Linked DNA regions of Kluyveromyces lactis. The protein of the gene in region 3 interacts with the protein of the main gene of each other region in a pairwise test. Links are inferred from orthologs where the notes say so. Each region holds a gene or a part of one and is shown on either strand. Other genes may lie near its edges.

The links. The genes of interacting proteins can lie anywhere in the genome.
Region 1: the proteins of SHR3 (region 3) and YMD8 interact in a protein complementation assay, tested with the Saccharomyces cerevisiae proteins (2 studies listed by BioGRID). The link is inferred for Kluyveromyces lactis from reciprocal best matches to the Saccharomyces cerevisiae genes SHR3 and YMD8.
Region 2: the proteins of SHR3 (region 3) and SND3 interact in binary tests that used the Saccharomyces cerevisiae proteins (3 or more experiments, as listed by UniProt). The link is inferred for Kluyveromyces lactis from reciprocal best matches to the Saccharomyces cerevisiae genes SHR3 and SND3.

What each region holds. Positions count from the first base shown.
Region 1 is NC_006042.1:941,575-944,765, forward strand, and holds YMD8 (Ymd8p), read right to left. Parts: upstream 1,819-3,191; coding exon 508-1,818; downstream 1-507. Other genes in the region: KLLA0_F10153g (uncharacterized protein), read left to right, coding at 2,214-2,774; ABP1 (Abp1p), read right to left, coding at 2,927-3,191.
Region 2 is NC_006038.1:832,076-834,626, forward strand, and holds SND3 (Snd3p), read right to left. Parts: upstream 1,081-2,551; coding exon 508-1,080; downstream 1-507. Other genes in the region: NEDD8-activating protein UBA3, read right to left, coding at 1-202; glucose-induced degradation complex subunit VID24, read left to right, coding at 2,339-2,551. UniProt on the Saccharomyces cerevisiae protein: Functions in the SND pathway, a SRP (signal recognition particle) and GET (guided entry of tail-anchored proteins) independent pathway for targeting a broad range of substrate proteins to the endoplasmic reticulum.
Region 3 is NC_006040.1:704,073-706,682, forward strand, and holds SHR3 (Shr3p), read right to left. Parts: upstream 1,134-2,610; coding exon 525-1,133; downstream 1-524. Other genes in the region: MRPL22 (mitochondrial 54S ribosomal protein uL22m), read left to right, coding at 1-282; RPS3 (40S ribosomal protein uS3), read right to left, coding at 1,553-2,266.

The DNA of each region.
Region 1 (3,191 bases), on a different chromosome or scaffold from region 3:
TTAATCCAGACATGCTGCTAAACGGGCCGGAGAAAATACGGAGATACTTATCTTGAATACGTAGTTAGTTGTGTTCTTCGTGTTAAGTGATGTGCTCATGTTGATCGGGTAATATATTAATCATTTGCACTCTATAAGAGTAATGAAATAACTGTCTGCTCAGGGAATCCTAGTTTACAGTCTTTCGGATGCAACGCACGTGATCTCATTCATATATGGCAGTTTAAGCATTTGATTCTAAAGTCCGAAGCTGGCATTAGAATACATCTAAAACGTGTAAATTGAGTAGTGTACATGTTTAATATAGTTTACATTTCGAGTAAAGCTGTCTGAAGCTTATAGGAAGCTGAATTCTGACTTTGTGAATTCGGGATTTGATATGGTTATTATTCAAATGCATATGCAATGGAGTGTTTAGTTTATACTTCATGCAGGAGAGAAAAAAAAGAGTGTGAGATGAAATCGATAAAGGATAGAATGCAAATATGGTGAATGATGCAGATTCACTTATTTGGAATTACCCATTACGGTGTCGTCACTTTTGTTTTTAGTGGGTTCGGTAATGGTACCTGATGTTAGCTCTGGTAGGTTAGATTCGATTGATTTTCTGGAATTCAAGGACCCTAATTCCCATACAGTCGCCGAGTCTCCACTGATGTTGTCTTGTAAATTTGACCAAATATCACCATCATGCGTAGATGTACATGGGGGTTCATCGGTTTCTACTAGTTGGTAGTCCTGTTGTACTTCTTGTAGTCTTTTTCTTTGCATGTATCTGTAGTAGTTGTAATAGCATACGTCGATTAGTACAACAATCATGCCTAACCAGTTGTAAAATCCTAGCCTTTCATTGAATACCAGCATGCCTAAGAAAACGGTGAATAGTTCTTTGATGATCCCGGTGACACTTAAAGTTAATACAGGAGCCAATTGTAATATACCAAACTCACACATTGTTAATATGAAAACAAGGCAGCTAGGGAGTGTGAGAAGCGCTAATCCACGTAATAGAGCCGCGAGTTTCGAATGACCTTCCCAAGTCATCAATTCAGAATGCAGTACATCAGGAATCGGACGTTCCACTATGAATGAAGTGGAAAATAGAAGTATAGTCATTGGTAAAGCTAATTGATATAGAGTGATGACCGGGTTTTTCTTAGTAGCAGGTTTGTCAGCAGCCATCAACTCATCACCATCGTTGGGTGACAAGACAATGGTGTTCTTCTTGTGGTTGAGAATAACTTGAACGTAGACCCATCTGAACCCTCCTAGGGCACAACTTATCACCACAAGTATCACACCAAAGGTTTCCTGAATTTCACCATGAGTCTGAGAGCTATCTGAGTTTATTGGTTTTAAACCCATCATCACAACACCACAAAACATCAATGTCACTATAATGAATAGTCTCCAAGATGGTACTTCCACCTTGAATAGACAGCCAAAGAAAAGAACGAATGCAATAGTAGATGATTTGACAATTGTATAAACAGTGAATGGAACGTATTTGAAGGAAATGTTGCCTAAACCAATGTCACCAGCAGTTGCTATAGCAGTTGGGATAATGTACTTTGCATAGTACTTCCAATCACCTTTGTTCAAGTTTTCGGGGGTTAGTTGACCTTTCCACCGGAGATACAGATATGCCATACCCCATAACTGTGTTTGGTGCAAGCCTGTCACCAACAATGGGTATGGAATATGCAAACTTCTATTAGGATCGAACATCCATTTGTTGTACATGGTAAGAAGAATGGCTGCAATATACATCCCCATGATCAAAGTGAAGATCCTCACTGTGTCTCTATCCATCTTCATTGTTTTTAGCTATTTTATATTGACAAAAGTACTACGCCAGGCTTCTTCTAATTTTGTATTAATATCTCGTCTCCCTACAGTAGCAATGATTCACACAGATCTCCCAGAACTTCCATTAAACAAATCAATTGACTTCGAGGTTCTATGTTATTTCATTCTCTACATGTGGTAGGCACAAACCTAGTTACGCATCTTTTTCATGTTGAACGAAACCTATTTTCTTCTTAGATGCTTTCCTATGGATGAGGCTGGTGAAAAAAAAAAAAAAAAAAATTAATGAACCACTAACAAATGAGACTAGGACCCTATTGAGATAACTTACAGGGTTTTTATGAACCGGAAGCCGGAACGTTATATATCAAAGTAATCGTCGTACCAATTTGGCTCCCAAAATAATGTTGTTTTTGACATCTTGTGCCACCTTGTCAGAGAATATCAGAAGGATTTTCCCAAAAGATACAGAACAATCACCAGCTGAATATACCTTCAAATTAGTATGTACCAGCTGTAGAGAGGAGCACGATTCCCCTATTAGAATCAATAGGTTTGAATCTCATGACATGCCTGGAAGTAAAGGAAATGCCTCGTTCGTGATGAAATGTAAATTTTGTGGCAATGAGTGTTCAATAAACTTGACCAGGACTAAGGAAGACTTATATAATTTAGATGAAGAATCTAATTTCGAATTGATTGAACAGGGTAAAAAGGACAGAAAGAAGGTTGGCTTACGTTCTGTTCCTGTGGAAAAAGCTGTTTGGCTCGAGCTTGACTGCAGAGGATGTGAAGTAACTAAATTTGAACCTGCTGACACTATTTTTGTAGCTGAACTAGTTTCGAAGAAGGAAATGGAGTTTCAGTTTGAAGACGACGAAAACGAATGGTATGATTATGATGACGATGCTGGAGAAGAAGTGAGCGTAGTAGATATGAACTTTGAAATTGTAAAAGGCAAATAAGTAGACTTTTGTTTAGTTTACTTTTGTACTTTATTTCTTTAACATTATTTACTTGTAAAGTATACATGATATATTCATTTCAAAGTCCCACCAACTTATAACATCATCATTTATTAACAATGATAAAGTTAGAGTAGTGGTAATTTATTGGATCATTCCTCTAAGTTGACGTAATTACTTGGGAATAGACCCTTTTCACCTGATGATTCAAGTTCACCCAACCACCAATCATCATCGACAAATTGAATATTAATGATTCTTTCATTTTCTTCAAAAGTCAATTCATTATCTTCGCCGGCTTCGTAATCATATTCAGCAATAGCTGATGGTCCGGATTCTTTCTTTCCAGGTTTGGATGCTCTTGGTGCTGGAGATGGAGGAGTATTTTGAGACTTAGAAAATGCTCTTTCATCATCA
Region 2 (2,551 bases), on a different chromosome or scaffold from region 3:
TAGCTTCTGCAGCTACAGACGCTTTTGGTTTGCCAATATCACGGGTACTGAATAGAAATTGACGGTTCAAATTGGTCAATTCGATGGTATCCATATCGACAATATGTAATTCTGGCAAACCGTACAGCGCCAATGTCTTGACAATCTCACATCCAAGACCACCGGCACCAAGGATCAATATTTTTACATCACTGACATCCATTTTGCTTGGAGGATATTGATCTGGTCGGCTCGATCAGTAACAGTTAAGGGTTGGGTCTGATCTTTATAGAATAATATTCACGTTTCTTTCAAATAAAGTGCGAAGTCTATGTGTACAATTTAACACTTAAACACGAAAGAAACTGAACAAAAGCTACGATAAAACATCCTATTGAGGTATCTTAATAGTTGTATACATACACGCATGTACATTTATATACATATATACGTGTTTATTTATAAGAGAATGGTGAGAGATGGATGAAGAAAACACATGATTGGAAAACGCAACGATGCGCGTCCCGATTATTCAGCTTTGACACCACCGTTACCAGCCTTTTCAGCAGTTTCGATAGATTTCTTGTCAGTCTTTGGTTCACTGGCACCACCGGCACCACCGAACAAAGATGGAGTCTTGAAAGGTCTCTTCAAATCACCAGAAGCTGGTTTTCCGAACAAATGAATTTGAACTTCGTTATGTTCCAAAGCGGACTTGATTGGTGAGATGGTTTGCATGAACAATGGGTTGGTGTATTTCATGTACAAATGCATGAAACCCATCATAGCCAAACCAGTGTAGATGGATTTAATGGCAGAATCAATCTGTTGTAAATCGTAATCACGAACGGTAGTGACTTCCAATTTTTTCTCGGTTTGACCACCCAATGGGTTAGCTGGAGCCACGTATTTCAAAGTGGCCAAATCGTTCTTCTTAACGATTTGAGCTCTAGCGTATTGGTAGATGGACCAAGTGATGGCAACAGAAGCGACATAAGCGATACGGATGTACAACACGATCGAAGGATCCTCCATATCCAAACGACGAGATACTTGCATCATGATCAACATGATGACTAGGTTACTGATTTGAGCATTCATGGTGGTGGTTAGAGAGTTACAGCTGGGATTGGCTTGGTAAGAAAGAGCACTTCTCTTCTAACTATGAATTGCTTATCGACGGCAGATTCCAGTGGACAAAGGACAACTAACTAACTAATTATTAGAAAAGGCATACATAAATCAGTAAGTATATAAAGTTGAAAAAGAGTAGTTCCGATAATACGTGCAACAAGTAGTAGTGCATCATTTAATAGATACGTATGTGAAAAGATGGTATACAGATTTTATTTTAAATTCCAGTCTGAATGTGGAAGAAGTGACGAGAAAATCTTTTGACGATGAGAGAGATACCCATTGTGTTACCCGGAATAACGTTGAACGGTGGCGAAAATACAAATATAGCAAATATACATATATCCGGGTAACATAAGCGGGCGCGTTATAACAGTAATCACGTGACTAGAAGAGCCACACTTTTTTGACAGCATACACCGAGCGTAGAGAAAGAAAGAGTTAGCTGCGCTAAGTTGTTACCCGCACCTCGGAACAAACCGGATCGGGCTATGTCTGTGAATGTTCCTTTCCCCTGTAGCAACATTCTCTCGTATTTCTTTTTGTGAACTTTGGTCCTTCTTTGATTCTTCCTCCGCCATTTCGTTGGGTACCTCTCTGTTCCAACTTGGTGCCGGAAAAAAAGAAAATCCAAAACGAAAGGTTTTTCCGGGTATTTTGCCCAGAAACCGGTGCACAGTCTCTTCGATATTTCCCCCCGTTTCTTTTCCTTCAACACCAGACTCGCACCTCGATCATAATTCACTCCTGAACACATTTACTCTCTTTTTACTTTTTTCCATTATGTGTCACTCCTTTCACCTATGCAGCCATTTTACTTCTGTCTCTGCCTTGTTCATTGGTTTTTCCCAGTCCAGTTGATAGGATAGAGTCATGGTTGGAACTGGAAATCTTCCTCTTCCGCGTGTTTCATTGTCGGTTTCTTTGCCGTGTTTTATTTCTTTTCCTTTTATCTCTTTTTCTTATTTCTTTATCGATGTCGATCTGGTCTTCGCTTTTTAAAGGTGGCCTGGTGATGCTTTTTATATTACCTTCTTGATTGAGATAGTTATTATTATTATTATTACTATATATATGTATATATACCGAGTGGTTATTGTTGGACGTATTAATCTGTTCGCTGCTTCATCGCAGATTGCCTTTGTCAAGTGAGTTAGTTACTTGCTTTAGAAAACTAGTTACAACTTACAAGTTGTAAGGCAAGATACATTCATACATTTTACAGATGATCAACGAAGATACACGTTCGCATAGCTCTGGGTTGGAGACGCAACTCGCCAAGGCGAGTAGCTCGTCTCCATATAAGGGTCAGGGTCAGACCCAGGAACAACAGCAACAGCAACAGCAACAGCAAAAACAGCAATCACCTATAGCATTCCCTGCGCCTTTGACTCCTTTTTTCCATAGAAACCCATATTTCAGGAACACTTCGCTGCAC
Region 3 (2,610 bases):
GATGGTGTGAAGCTTGGCTTGGATGCCAATGACCTATACATCTCCCAGATATGGACCGGCAGTGATGGATTTTGGCAAAAACGTGTCGAATGGAAGGGTAGAGGTAGACGTGGTCTCATTGAACACCCATATGTGCATATCAAATGCATATTGAAGACCAAGAGTGTAACGAAGAGAAGACTAGAGCACGAAGCCAAACTAAAAGAACAAAGGAAGAAACCGTGGGTTCAATTAGCAGATAAACCCATCAGAGGTTCTATGGGTGGTGTTTACAAATGGTAATGAGATATTAAACATTATCATATTACGTTTATTTCCAATGATAATGGGTGAAGATAATATACAGCAATTAAATCATCAATAATAAGGTCCTTAGATTGTCTTTGGGTTTCATCTCAAGTTATCCATGTCGGAATAGCCAAGTATTTCATATCATTTATATAATATATAGAACAAGAGCTTGTAAATAGTGAAAGCAACGCGAAATACTTCACCGCATCAAACTGTAAGGAAACAAATTTCGTCTATTTCTTCTTCTTAGATTCCGTTTTAGCTGGTTCAGTAGTTTTCTCCGCCTTCTGTTGGTTAGCGGCAGATTCCTTCAATTGGTCTTTCCTCCATTGATCTAATCTTTGTTCATATTCCCAGGTACTGTACCACAAACCTCCTTGCAACACTAAGACACCAGCAAAGACAATTAAAATAATGATATTGGAAGAGGCAACAACAGCAATACCTTGCGCCTCAGAGACTTCACCCCAGTTATGGTAAACCGCAGATTCAACACCGGTCTTGATATTTGTTAAGAAAACACAGATACCCAAAACGTACAAAGCCAATGAACCGTATTCAAATAATTGCAAATCTGGATTTGGCTTGTATACCCTAATCAAGGAACCAATGACTCCCACAATGGCCACCGCACCAAGCATATAAAGGGTTGGCTTGGCCGTGTAGAATAGAGTCTGGTAGTGTTTCAAAGCGTTCTCAAAATGCTCCGGCGTGGCAGCAGGATTGAATAGGATATTATAGTCATATGGTTGATTAGAAAAGAAGATCCCCATCAAAAAAGTAGTTGATCCAATGATCAATGCTGTACCTACAGCACAAAAATCCTTATAAGTTAGGCCCATATTTACTTTCAGTCAATGTGTTTAGTGAGCGATACCTACGTTCTCTTAAAAATGGAACGTATAGACCCTACGTGTGGTATTAAATGGTTAACAATTCATCTATAATTGAGCCATTGGTTTTTTCAGTACGCACTATATATTCTCTTTTTTTTTAATAATTTACATGATTTTTGCCCACCGAATTTTTTTGATTAGTATGAAAGATAAAGGAACTGAAAGGCGGAAAGGCATTATCGGAAGGCGCTATCGATAAATCATTTTAAAAATCCATTGATAAAAGCAGGACGTTTTAATCGATGTCATCTGGGCATAGATTACTTATTTTTAAAAGAATTGATGAGTTTCTTAATATTTATACATATAAGAACGGTATTTAATAGACTAATTAATAATATAGAATCAAACAGATATCAATTGATTTAAGCAGATTCAGCAGCTTCAACTGGTTCAGTTGGTCTGTAATCCTTGACAGAAGGTTCCAAAACTGGTTCTTCTTCCTTTGGTTCGATGATGGTAACAGCATCTGGCAAAGCCTTTGGACCAGAGGTGTTTCTAGATGGGTCCTTCATGATCTTAACCTTAATACCCAAAACACCTTGTCTCAACAAAACGTGTCTGGTAGCGGTTTCAATGAAGTCGTTGACTGGTTGACCGGAGTGGATCAAGAAACCGTCAGCGAACTTCATGGACTTGGCTCTAGCAGCTCTCAACTTACCGGAGATGACAACTTCACAACCCTTGGCACCAGATTCCATAACGTATCTGACAACACCGTAAGCAGCTCTTCTGATGGCCAAACCGTTCAACAATTTGAACTTCATGGATTCAGCTTGAGCAACAGCGGACAAACCACGGTCATGGACTCTTTCAGCGTATAAAGCAATGGTACCACGCTTGTACTTGAATCTCTTTTCAATCAACAAGGTCAATTCGTTGATTCTTCTACCATTTTCACCAACAACATCTTGAACCTTAGTAGCTCTGATGATAATTTCGGTCTTGGTTGGAGTAACTCTGACTTCGACACCAGAGTAACCTTCTTCAGCCAATTCTCTGGTGAAGAATTCGTTCAATTCGGCGTAGAAAACACCGTCAGCGACAAGCTTTCTCTTCTTGGAGATAATGGCAACCATTTTTACTTTATTTGTTCGTCGGGGAGCTCGAAATTATAGGTGATAATAAAACTAACTAAAGTAAGTATCTTGTATGTCCAATGGCACTTATGTTCATAATGAACCAGATTGTAAAGCGATGATGAGAACAATATTCGTCAAACCGTCCGAATCGCTGCGATTGGTATGGTGAAAATGAAAAAATCATCTGAAAGACAGTATTTACTCACCAACACATGTGGTGTATGGGTTAATGCTTCAGATAAATGAACATTTTCAATGAGATAAGTACCCAAAATGGCAATGCAGAAAAAATTGGAAAAAAAACTAAAACAAAAATGTCCGGGTGAGCAGTCCCAGGAACA